2 linked regions of the Caenorhabditis elegans genome follow. The protein of the gene in region 2 interacts with the protein of the main gene of each other region in a pairwise test. Each region holds a gene or a part of one and is shown on either strand. Other genes may lie near its edges. The genes, in order: daf-19 and zag-1.

Region 1 (5,108 bases), on a different chromosome or scaffold from region 2:
ACTACTTGTGCATTAAATTTGACTCTAGGATTTGAATTTTAGCATGTCGAAAAGACATGGGATATGAAAAATTAACAAATAAACTAAATAGTAGTAGTATGAGATGACAAAAGTGGGGGGAAGCGGATGCGAGGTTTTCATTATTCCCCGTATCCATGGAAACGCAGAAAGGGACTCCGAATCGGGCTTCTGTTATCACTCCACCCACTCCAAGCCGACAAGCACACCACTCCACCCGCCACTAGTTCTCCTCTTAATTGGCACGAGTTCACGAGATATTTTGGAATTTAGAAAGAACTCGTGCTTCTTCTAATTTACCTTTAATGTGAGTTTTTCTCAATTTTCAATTTCACTATTACTAATTCGGAATACCGAATTCCCTCTATTAAAGTTGCACCCCCTGCAAGCCAATCGAAAACTTGCAGCATCTAATCATCTTGAACTGACTTTTCTTGAGCTGACACCCCCGAATTTTTATTTAATTTTGGAGCATTTACAGCCTAATATTTAGCAAATTACCAAATTTACGGAAACAATTTTTTGTCGATTTCCAAAATTATGATTGGCAAAAACTGAGTTTTTTAATCTCAAGTTTTGACTGCAAATTAAAAAAATTGGAATTTTTCCCTTTAACCTTCAAGTTCTGTTTTTATTCATCTGCATTTGTTTTTTTTTTCCGACACATTATTTTGTGGATTTTTCTAATTAAAGATCACATTTCTAATCTTATCCAAAATCATTTTCCATCAAGCGATGTGATCAGATTTTTCTTTTAAAAAATAGGAAACTTCAATTATATTTTGTGGTAATTCTGGTACTTCAAACATTCGGAAATAAAATCATAGTCCTAAATAAGTTTTCTGTTCTTTCAGAGAATTGTTTTTAAAAAATTTCATTGATTTTTTAAATTATAAAAAAATTAAGAATTCTGGGAATATTTTAAAATCGTTCTCGTATCTTTAAAATATCATTGAAGCTTTTCTGAACAAAAATAAAACTTCATTTTCTCAACCAATTTCATTTACTTAAATTAAATAATTGTCTGAAAACTTTCAGACAGACTTTATATGTTTCAATATGCTTGTATGCAGCTATAGTAAATTTTTTAAACTCAAATCGATCTGTTTCAGTTTTTGATTAAAACTTCAGTTAAAATCATTTTTCCATACAACTCCTTTTGAACTGTGCACTTTTTCAAAGTTTGGAATATTTCAATTTCAAGTTTTCAAAATTCTATCTGTTACTGTAGCTGATAATCATGTTATACTTTAGTTTTTTTTTTTTTAATATTACTAATGTTTTGAAAATCCTACATTTTCATGTAAAATTTAATTTCCTTTTCTTACTCTTTTATCGTTTCATTATTTTTCGTTGTCGTTTTATTCCAGCTAATTTGTTTTTATTTTCAGAAAACTTCCCGCTTTTGGTCACGTTCACACACCGGGTGCTTCACCATCTTTTTCATAATTTCTTGTTCATATCTTTGTGCTCTTCTTTCTACTTTCTCTCACTTTGCTCTTCGTTTTGGGTCTGAGAGTATAGCATAGACAAACCGACCACTACTCTACGCTAATTTATGCCCTCGCCAATTCTCCAGAGAGAAAAGATGCAAAGCCAGGAGCAGATGAAGAGAGAGAGGAACCAAAGTAGAGAGGAAGTGTGAAGATGAGAACGTTAGTTCCTCAACTTTAAACACATTTTACAAAACGCTCCATTGATAGTCAATTTGTTGGTTGTTGAAAGAAAAAACTTACGATTTTGAATCTTTGGATGCAGATCGAAGTTTTCTTTCTCCAGATGGATGTGTTTCTAGAGGCTCTTCTTTAATCGTTTTTTCAGACTTTTCAGATTTCTCCGGTGATTTTTGATTTTCGACATCTTTAAATTTCTTCCTCCAAAGTGCATCAATATCAAGTCCTTTTCGCTTCCTTGAAGGAGTCTCTCTGAAAAAATTGGTTATTGTTTTAAAGTGACCACAACTTTCAAAGCTTCAAAAATATTTCACAAGATTATATACTTTGCCAGCCTTCAAGAAAACCTAGGCCTGCTTGGAGCCTATTGTGCGCATTTTTAAAAGACCTTTCGATAAATTGATTGATTTGAAAATTAACTTAAGAAGTTCGGATTAAAATCTACATTATCAAAAACATGAAAATACCGGAGTTCACGCAAAATTGCAGTACATTTCGATAGGCAGGCACATACACCTAGAGCCTTCTTGCCTAAGCATAAACTGAATTATGTCCTAAAGAAATACATTTGTAGAAAAAAAGCCAAATATCCTAATTAAACACTACAAAAATTTCGATTTTTTTTTTGAATTTTGAAAAATCTGAAAACCTTCCGAAGTTAGTAAATTGCCAAATGTTCCGAAATTGTGAAATTGATGCCGGTTCAAATTTCTAGAACGTTCTAATTAAAATATAAAACTCGTAGAAATTTTGATTTTTTTGGTCGATTTTCAAAATTATGACAAAGTTTTCACCACTTTTTTGACTGTAAATAAAAAAAACCAAAAGTTTTGCTATAATTTTTGAACATTTAAGCACTATAGTAGTTGTTCTACGAAACGCATTTTTCAAAACTGTAAGTTTCGGTGATTTTTTTTTTGAAATATTATACATTTATTTTGATAAATAAAGTATTTTTCCTACTTCCTTCCTCATTTACTTAATTTTCTTCTTTTTTTTCTTAAACAGTTTTTTTCTTGTCATGTCACACTTTTTTTTGCTGTATCTTTTTTTTCTCCAATTCAATGTTCCTATGGCCACCCAACGACGACACCGTGTGAAGGTCATTCATCTCTTTCTCGAAAATGGAAATAATGGGAAAAAAGTGATGGGATGGGAGAATTTGATATGATAAGATATGGGGTTTTTCTCGCACAGGTGGTCGTACAGACTTTCAGCCGATTTTTGCAGATAGACTACTCACATCTTCACGTTTTTCTCGGCTGCACTGAGCACACTGCTCGTCGATGGCACCGGCTCCTCATTGGTCATGACTTTCTTCTCTGCCGCACCACCCCTGAAACTAGACATTTACAGAGAGAGACCCAGACGATGTTGCATTTAGTCTCTTGGATAATTTGGAAGTAGTTTCCATGGAAACCAAAATTGTAAAAGAAGCCGAGATGAAGCCGGAAAAGCAGCTAGAGAAAAGCAAAGGTGGCCTAGAGAGAGAGTTAGGGAGGGGGGAACGAAACTAAGTTGCTGCGTCGATAAAATATGTGCGGCAGCGGGGAGTGTCTCCTCGTTGCCTGGGGGAGTGTACGTGAGTGAGTGAGAGAGTGTCTGTCTGTGTGAGTGTGTGTGGTGCGAGTGTGTGTGTCTCAGTTGTGTGTGTGTTGTTGTGGGTGAAGAGATGGGACGAAAAGGAGATATGTGTGTGTGCCTAGGGCCCCTCTCAACAATGGAACATCACTTCTTCCCTGCTTCTCCTTCTTAAAAGTATTTCTTTAAGGGCCCCCGAGGTTGGGAAGAAGGTGGCTCGGCGCTTGCATAGGAACGGAAGCTGAAAACTAGGACATATTCCTCACAGACTGGCGAATCTGAAAAATAAATACCGTAACATGTATCAGTATCACAATAGTTTTTTTTTCAAATTTCAAGTATTTCAAGTAACATGAAACATTCAACATGTTTGAGAGTTAATAATATAATATACCTAGGTTACTTATTTTATTAAATTTCCTTCTTCAAACATACCTGTTAAAAACAATCAGACATCCCAAAAAAACTCTGAAATGTTCTGTCAAAGTCATGTTTAAAAGTTTGAAACTACAAAGATGTTGCAAGAATACGGTCTTGCAACGATCGGAAGTTTGTTACTGAAAGCTGTGAACCGCGACAATTAAGAACTATTGTAGTTACTTATTAAAAATGTACACTCTTTTTTGGAGAAACCGTTTAAAAATTCAAGGTCGTGTCGAGACCTGATACTGTATTTTTGCTTTATAAATTGTAATATTCTTAATCTGGATGATTAATACAGTTTACATATTACCGGAACACAAAATTCTAAAAATTCGTACTGTGCAACATATTTGACGCTTTAAATATCTCGTAGCGAGAACTACAGCTGTATACAGTAATTCTTTAAATGACTACTGTAGCGCTTGTGTCGATTTACGGGCTCGATTTATGAAATTAATTTAATTTCGAACAGCGACATTCTTTTTTCATTCGTTTCTCATTTTTTGCTTAATTTTAGTATTCTATAGATAAATAAATTATTTTAATCCATTCGAGCCCGTAAATAATATGCATTCTCAGAATTTTGTGTTCCCGTAATAAACTATGAGTTACAATTTTCGATTTCAAGACATACCGTACCCAAGTTTATCAGAGAGCGGCACAAAATCGGTTTTCCTGTTGAAAATAGCTAAAAATCAACAATTATTGTCTTATATCCATAGATATAAAACAATGCATATTATATTTATTTTTTTCTTCAGAAAAGAAACGAAAATATTTTATTTTCACATTTTTATATTCAGTTTTTGCATAGTTTTTCTTTTTTATTTCTAGATTACACTTAAAAGCTGATAAATTTAGTGTTATTCTCGATTTTTCGGAATAAAAATTCATTTTCAATAATTTTTGATCTTCTCTTTATTTTTGAAGAAAAATTATTGATTTTTTTCCACCAGAATTTTCAATTTTAAAGGGATGACCAAATTTAAAAACCACGGGTCTCGCAACGAATATGAAAAATATTTTTGCGCTTTGCAGACGCGCACGAGCGGCAAGTTTTCAATTTTCTGCAGTTGTTCACCAATCTAGATTTCTTTTTCATCATTTATTCTCTTTTTCTTCCCGATGCGGTTGATTTTGCTTTGCTCTCTTTGCTTCAATCTGAATTTTCGCCATTTTTATTCAGATTTGTTCCTTCTTAAGCTATTACTTCTTGTGAATCTTCCGTCAAAATTTCATTCAAGTTTTCTTACAGACTCAAAAAAATGTCGAAAGCCAACGTCGGAATCAACGGTTTCGGAAGAATCGGACGTCTCGTGCTCCGCGCGGCTGTCGAAAAGGACACGGTTCAAGTGGTCGCCGTCAACGATCCGTTTATCACAATCGACTACATGGTCTACCTTTTCAAGTATG
Region 2 (7,799 bases):
CCGTGAAATTTTGTATGTGTGTCGTCTTCTTCCATATCTGGGTGAGCCGACTATCAATCACTTGGCCATATGCTCGGAGACACCTTCTGCGTTTGTCTTTTCTCACCAACTAGGCAGAATAGCTAGCCTATTGTAATTTGAAAAGGTGTTATATTTTAAAGTGTGTCTACCTACTCGTCTACCTGCTCGCCTACATTTATGCCTACCTGGATTCTTGGCCAAATGTCGACCATCTGCACTGCTTGTCTGCGTTCTGCGTGTCTCATCGCCTACCTACTAACCTGCAGCCATGCCTGTTCTACCGGCAACTTGCAAATTTTGCAAAATAATGTTTGATGTACCATGTTTTATTTTTCATAATTCGAGAGTTGCATGGTCGGTAAAATTGATTTAAATATATAATTTTTCGATAGCTCTATTGCATCGTTGATTGCAGTTGAAAATGTTTTTTTTTCTTGCAACAAATTTTCCTCAAAAAAAAAAGAACAATTTATTATCATTATTAATATTATTTAGCCAAAACTAAACAAAACAAAACAAAAAGGAGAAGGGAATCTGCGTTACACGAAAGTTAGTTGGTCCCAAATGAGCCAGCACGGAAGGTAGGGGAAGGAAATTTCAAATTGCACCATTTTTTGTGAAGATCTGACTAGTAGTTTTTGTTCTAGTTGAAATAAAAATTGGGTTAAGAAAGAATTGAAAGTGAGGTGGGGGAGAAAAGCGAAAGCACGGCACCGGCCAGGAGATAAGTTGAAGGAAAAAGCGAAGCATATCACGGAGAATGATGACTATATTTTCAGGGAAAAAATTTGATAAACTGTACATAAAAAGCACCATAGGAAGCTGCAAGGCAAGACGTTTATTGGCACAGCCAATATTTCGGAAGAATTTCAAAAAAAAAAGTTGGAAAAGTTGAGATCTCTAGGTAGAAGGCGGTGGGGTATTCGAGGAGGATGGGGATACGGTAACACTTCCGCCGTTCAAAACGTCGGACGGTGAAGCTGGCTGCTCCCGGTACGGTTTGCAGTACGAATAGCGGTGGTTCATGTGCTGACTGTAACTTCCAGAATGGGAGAATCTCTTCAGGCATTTGTCACATTGGAATGGCTTCTCGCCGGAGTGGAGCCGCTTGTGCTCGGTCAGGTGATGCTTGTGCTTGAACGCCTTCTCGCAGATGTCACATTTATAAGGGCGTTGGCCTGAAAATTGAAGATTTTTATTGAAATTTAATACGTTTTGTCAGTTGACTATTTGGAAAACTAACTGGCTCAAAAGTTACGAAAATTTAAAGCGGCCAGTTTCTCGATGTCAAAAACTTGAAAAAATTCAACCTTTTTGCTGATCAAATTGTATTCAAAATGATTTGAGCTTAAGAACACATACAGCTGTCCCCCGGTCTATCTTCTCAATTAGATTACCCCCTTCTTCAATTAATACGATTGCATCACGTATGTATCCAAACATGGTGTCTATTTTCTCCCCCTCTAATACCCTCTAATTTCCTGTACCTCCCCTCCATCCTTTCCGCCCATCTACAAGGATGCTTTACTCACCAGAATGTTCGTATTTGTGTCGAGCCAGTGAACTTTGCTTGCCGAACACCTTGTCACATTGATCGCACGAGAAGAGACCCTCTTCCTCTTTTAGGGGGGTCGTGGGGAATTTGAGAAGCTTGGATTCGTTGGAGCAAAGGGATGAGGCGTCGTCTTCGGATGATTTTTGTTGCTGAAAATATTTAAAATTTTGGTTGAATTTGGGGCCAAATTATGATGCACCATGTCTTGAAAGTTATTTGTAAGAGCATATCTTGGCGGGTAATAAAGCTTTTCAAAAATTTGTTTATTGGAATAAATAATCACATATCTTACAGCTCTTATATCTTCACGGAAGCCCAGGCTATCAAAAAAATTTTTACTGAAAAAGTCTTAACTATAAAATTTGCTGAAATTTTTCAGTTGATAATTTTTTAATAAAACTTACACCCGCTGAGATATGCCAAAAAGGTTTTTTGTTCTTTCCAACTGACAACGCTATTCAAAACATGGAGCATCAAAAATTGTATTGCGAAACACTCCGAAAAATCTATAAAACTTACATCAAGAGCTTTCTCCAAAACCGATAAGCTAGCAGAGTCCAAAATCGATGGGTACTGCCCAATAAACGACGGCCAAATCGACGAAGATCCGCTCGACACGGGGCTTTCCTCGGCCTTGATCGGCTTCTCCTCCTCGTCCTCTTGATTCGTCACGAATCCATTTCCAGCCTGCCGCAGCAACTCCTGGATCACTCCACCAGTCTGGTCGAGGAAGCCGATGAGCTTCTCAGGGCTCCACTCGGGCTCCGTGTCGTCTGTGGATAGCGTGAGGTCCAGTGGTGTCTCTTTGCCATCCTTAAGGCCATCATGATCCATTACCTCGTCCGTATTCTCGTTGTTGCGCTCGTCCTGGAATATGATTCATTATGATTCATTAAACTTTCAGAAATACCAAAATAGTAAGGCGTGACCCCCGAATTCAACTAATTTTCAATTTTCAAAGCCAAAAAGTCCCCCTTAAGAAAGCGAAAAGGAAGGAGGGGGACAAAGAAGCTCATTAGCAGGTGCTGCCTGCCTTCCACCACACACACTGACTCCTCACTGCTCCTTCTTTTTCCCAATACCAAAAACACTCGAATTCATTTCATTTCCATTGATGGGTCCCGTCTCTGCCCCGTCTGAGTCTCCAACCGCCGCCGCTTCATCTCGGTGTGAGAGCGCGCCGGCGGATGGACAAGAGGAGAAGGTAAATTGAATGACACAAATTATGCAAGAAGACAAAAGGAAATTGATGAGAGCATCATGTGAGATGAGCCCCCGATGCACTTTCAGGCCATCTTCGACAGTCCCCCGCCTAAGCTTCCTGCTCCCTCAGACTCTCCGGAGCCCAGAGGACCCATTCAAAGCAACATCTTGAGAAGCGGGCTCAGGTGGTGGCTGGTGACAACAAGCCATTCACCCTCATTTAGTATCATCCTATTATACATCTCTTCCTGTTTCTGCCTTCCCTTCTTTTATGGGTGTCTTCTCGACAGATGCTCTCCTATTCATATCTACGACAATGTCCCCTCTTTTAGGTGTCTATTCTTCCTTGATTGGATTATAGGAGTGAAGTTTTTTGAGGCAAACACTTTTGTAGTGGCGTGGGATTTTAGCACCAAACATGGTGCATTGAGAATTGAAAAATTGAATATCTCTACAGGGGCTTGAGATATCTAAACGTGATTTACTGACAAAAAGTTAACCACAAAATTTGCTACATATTGTTAGTTGGTAAATTCTTGATAGCTCTGATGCCCGCAGAGATGTACCCTCAAAATGACACTATCTTCCAAACTTGGCACATCGGCAGAGAGCGGAGACCGCAGTTTCCAAAACATGGTACATCAAAGCTACAAAATGTTGAACAAATATTTATGCTTTCAAAAAATGTTTGCTCTGATGCTAGCAAAGATAAACCCTTGCAAAAACTCTCCGAAACATGGTGCAAGGACTAAATTTTCCACGATTTGTCAGTTGCCAACTTTCTGATAACACTTTTCTTGGTATACCTTCTAAAACATGATGCTCCACCGAGAAACTGTTCAACTACCAACTTAATTTCCTCGCCAGGAACAGTACCACCCATAAATATTCATAAAACTAGGAGCAGGTGTCGAATTAGGCAAATTTGATGAGACGTGGGGCGAGGGGGCACATGGTAGGGAAGCCTCATTTACAACCTGCCTCAAGCAACGAGAGACAGGGAGGAGTGGATGGGGGGATGAGGGAGACGTGAAATTGATGAATTGATATTTTGAAAGAAGTGAGTGAGCCCCCAAGCTGGTTGGGACAACATGATTTATGGATCACCTGGGGCTACCCGAAACATCAAATTTCTGATCAATTATATTAGGAAAGTTGACACGTTGTACCTGATGACCCCCTAATGACCCCCTTGAGATATAATTGTCAAATGCGCGAGAAGGTTAAAATTAGCAAAAAGTGTTGTCTATTTCCTATAGCCAGATTTTTTGCTACTTTTAATCCAATTGTATAGAATCTGGCACCAAATGTGTGTGCGCGAAAACAAAACATGTGTCACACATTTTCTGATTCCCCACAATTACCTGAGATGCGGTCAAGCTGTTGTTTCCATTTGAGAACTGTGAAGCCCAGGCAGCCATCAACTGTACAGGCGTCTGCCATACGGTAGGTGAAGTCGCAGCCGCAGCTGCGGCAGAAGCCACACTGCCGCGTGGCATACTTGGGAGCCGATTGCTCCGGCGTTCTTTGGCTCGAGTGTTTTGGAACCAGACCTGGAAAAACGGAAGAAATGTGTATGCGGTAAACTGGTGGAATAACGCGATGAGCACCGGCACCTGCGTCCTGGGGACGTGATGTATGTACAACAATTTGATGAGCCACTTGAGCACATGTGTGTGTGTATGTGCTTCCACTTCCCGTCCAGAGACGCCACCTTGTGGGAAACTTTTGTGGGAAAGCGTCGTTAAAAACGGCGAATAAATCTTTACTCACCTGAACGACGCGCTTGTTGACGCCAATCTGCTCGGCCACGGCGGAGAGCTCGTATTTGGAGGGAAATGGGTTGCGTTTGAAGTGGTTTTGCAGAACTGCCACCTGAAAATATTGATTTTAAATTAACGTTTTATGTTTGCTGTGGTCTGAAAACTTTGCTAGTAAAAAAATGTTTGATGCACCATGTCTTAGAGATTATTTCTACTTGAGGAAGGGCTCTACCAAATTTTTAGTAACCAGCTAATTGTTTCTTAAAGTTTTGCAAACATTTTGTTAGTTGACAGTTTTTGATAATCCTCAGAACGTGGTACATCGAACAATTTTTCAATCTTTGGTACAAAATTTAGATAAAACTTCCAACAGTTTAAAAAAATCCTTACCTGTGAATCATTCAAAAAGCTTCTAGACCTCAGCGGCCTCCAATCCGGCGACGACTTCCCATCGGATCCGCTGCCTCCATTATTCATCGACTCATTTCCGTTTTGCTCAGGCGCAGGTGACAACGACATTGACACGGCCGGCGTTATCGATTCCTCTGGCACCGAGTCCTCCGTCTTGACCTCCGTCTTGACCTCCGTTTTCACTTCAGAAGACACTTCCGGCTCATCGACTACCTCAATCTTCGGCTCAGGAGACGCTGGAGCGCTGGGCTCCTGAGTAGGCGTTGGCGAGGTGCCGTTCTCTAAAGATTGGAACAAATTTGCCTGGAGAAGGCTCATATAGTCCATATTGTTTGCGGCGGTGGACGGGAGAAAGGAGACCTGGGGAGTTTGCAATTGGAGCATAATATTCCTATACATCATCAGCTGATATGGATTGAATGGGGTCACCATCGACGGGGATGCCTGTTGCACGCATTTCTTCGAGCTCATGTGTGAGGAGTACGATCCGGAGTGCGAGAAGCGTTTGTGGCACTGTTGGCACTGCAAAAAATAAAGTAAAAACATTAATTTATCACGGAGGCAGCGAGCGCAGGAGCTCCCCCACTGGGACCTATAAATCTTTGAGGCACTGGATCACACGTACTGATGGAGAGCCAAGGTTTGTTTATTGCACCCAAAGGTGCATTATTTCGCCGCTAGCCAATAGCCGCACAAGGGGCGTGGGCTCCAGGTGAGAGGTGAGCCAGAGGTGCGGGGGGAGGGTGGAGCTCAGGTAGCGTAAAGTATCCCGTATCCAATGAGCACACACCTTTTGAGGATGAAGCCTAGCTAGCTATAAGGAAAAAAAAGATGCTCGGGGATGTAGACGAATTAATGAATGCCTAGCGGGCATCTATACTTTTCCGGCCGGCTCTCTCTCACCTTTTGTTGTTCTTGCTCAAAACTAGAAAACTTATGTTGTGAGAGGAGAGCCCCGGTCTTACACCTATATCATCATTAGAGCACAGGTATTTCTCCCCTCATTCCCCGCTTGTCATGTTAGACATTGATAAATTGGTTAGCTGGGAGAGCAACAGGTGACTCGGCGAGCACTAGGACCTACCTCGAAAGGTTTCTCGCCCGAATGGATTCTGATGTGCTCCTTGAGGTGATGCTTGAATTTGAACGCTTTTGTGCATTCCGGGCACTTGAATTTGCGCAGCGCCTCGTCTGATGGTAGACTGCTGGCGGTTGTTGGCATGGCTTCGGCGATATCTACCATTTTACCTGGAATTTAGAAAATTAAAAACAAAAAAGAAAAAAGAAATGCGTAATTTTATAGAGAAGAGAGAAAAATGGGGGTATCCGCTCAGATTTGATAGCTATCAATGATTTGTTACCTAGACAATTTGTAGTGAATAAAATATTAAACTTTAATTTTTTGATAGCTTGCAAATCTTAGAATATATGACAGTTAGTTAGTAAAAATTTAAGCTGACAAGTTATCAAAAAGTGTTTTAAAAAACATATTCTCAATTGTAAAAGTATTGTATTTTTGCTAGAAAGTTACTATAAATTATACGTTACAAATTTGGCAGGAGATATCTCCGCGAGTTTGTTAGCTATCAAAAAGTTGTCAAACAAGAAAATGTAGCAAATTTGATGTTCTACAGAATAACAGGGAAAAATTTGTTTTCTACCAGATTCAAAAAGATACAACAGGTTAAAATTATCAATTAACAAAATTTCGAAAAAATAGAATGCCACAATGAGTTCTAGGTGAGCTATGAAAATTTTATTTGAGTGACCAACTTGACCACTGATGCTCAAAAGGCTCCAAAAAACCGCCAGAGGTACTGTAGACCAAATCGAGAAAACTCTTGAGCGAAAAGCTCTTGAGGAAAGAAACGGTGAAAAGGGGGAATGGAAAAGAAGAGGAATAATTGAATGAATAAGAAGCAGCAGGCGGCACTCAGGAAAAATGAACAAAGGGTAGAAGTAGTGTGAGAGGATGGCCAGGCACCTTGATGAGTTGGCAAGATATGGAAGTTTTCCGCGAAATGAAAGAGACACACACACACAGAAGAGAGCATCCCAATAATGGGGCCCCCTTCTTTAGTAGCAAAAGCTCCCCGAAGAAAGGGGAGAAGAAAAAGCGGAAAACGTGCGGGGAAAGGTGCCAAATGAAGAAGATGCACACCTAGAGGAGCGGTGCCTCTTGCCGCAGGGCTCCAGACGACGTGAGAGCTCACTATGAGAATGTGTGTGTGTGTGTGTGTGCAGTCTCGCACACCACCCAACACTCACACACAATAAGAGAAAAGAGAAGAAGCACACATGAACCTCAGGAGGGCTCATCTGTGAGTGTTTGCGGGAAGCGACGGACCCCCATCCACCTGCCACCAGCCACGCCCACATTTTGGGGGAAGGAAGACCACTTTACCTTACTGTAGTTGGGATGAATGAAGGTTCGATTGCCAGATGGGAAGGGGGGCTCCGCCCAGTTTCTGGAGCCCCTTTTGGGAATTTCGGTGTCCGGGTGGGTGGAGTTTTAGAGGCGGGAAGGAGGGGCTTCGAAATTTTTGGCGGGTAACAGCAATCAGGAAAAAATTGTTTCTAAATTTTGCCAAAAAACTATGCCAAACTATATAACTGAAATGTCGGTTTCAGGATAGGTACTTAGTAAATCCTAAATTGAGACAATATGAAATAGTCAGCTGACAAAAATCGTTACTCCTGATCTTTATGTACGGAAGACAATAATTCCAACGTGATGTTAGGCTGTCCCATCACGGCTTGATCTACAAAAAATGCGGGAATTTTTCCACAAAAAAGTGACATCAGCACGTTCTTAACCATGCAAAATCAGTTGAGAAGTCAGTTGA

Evidence for each region.
Region 1: the proteins of zag-1 (region 2) and daf-19 interact in a two-hybrid assay, tested with the Caenorhabditis elegans proteins (one large-scale study listed by BioGRID).

The regions. Positions count from the first base shown.
Region 1 is NC_003280.10:10,166,320-10,171,427, forward strand, and holds the start of daf-19 (RFX-like transcription factor daf-19), read right to left. Parts: upstream 3,027-5,108; 5' UTR 3,003-3,026; coding exon 2,935-3,002; intron 1,944-2,934; coding exon 1,755-1,943; intron 1-1,754. Other genes in the region: gpd-4 (Glyceraldehyde-3-phosphate dehydrogenase 4), read left to right, coding at 4,961-5,108. UniProt on the Caenorhabditis elegans protein: Probable transcription factor. May regulate some genes of ciliated sensory neurons. May activate the expression of the shared components of sensory cilia, but not the cell-type-specific expression.
Region 2 is NC_003282.8:3,854,247-3,862,045, reverse strand, and holds zag-1 (Zinc finger E-box-binding homeobox protein zag-1), read right to left. Parts: upstream 6,204-7,799; 5' UTR 6,197-6,203; coding exon 6,038-6,196; intron 5,476-6,037; coding exon 4,933-5,475; intron 4,655-4,932; coding exon 4,553-4,654; intron 4,333-4,552; coding exon 4,144-4,332; intron 3,863-4,143; exon of another isoform or gene 3,648-3,862; intron 2,444-3,647; coding exon 2,096-2,443; intron 1,726-2,095; coding exon 1,554-1,725; intron 1,200-1,553; coding exon 922-1,199; 3' UTR 477-921; downstream 1-476. UniProt on the Caenorhabditis elegans protein: Transcription factor. Down-regulates expression of genes involved in either the synthesis or reuptake of serotonin, dopamine and GABA.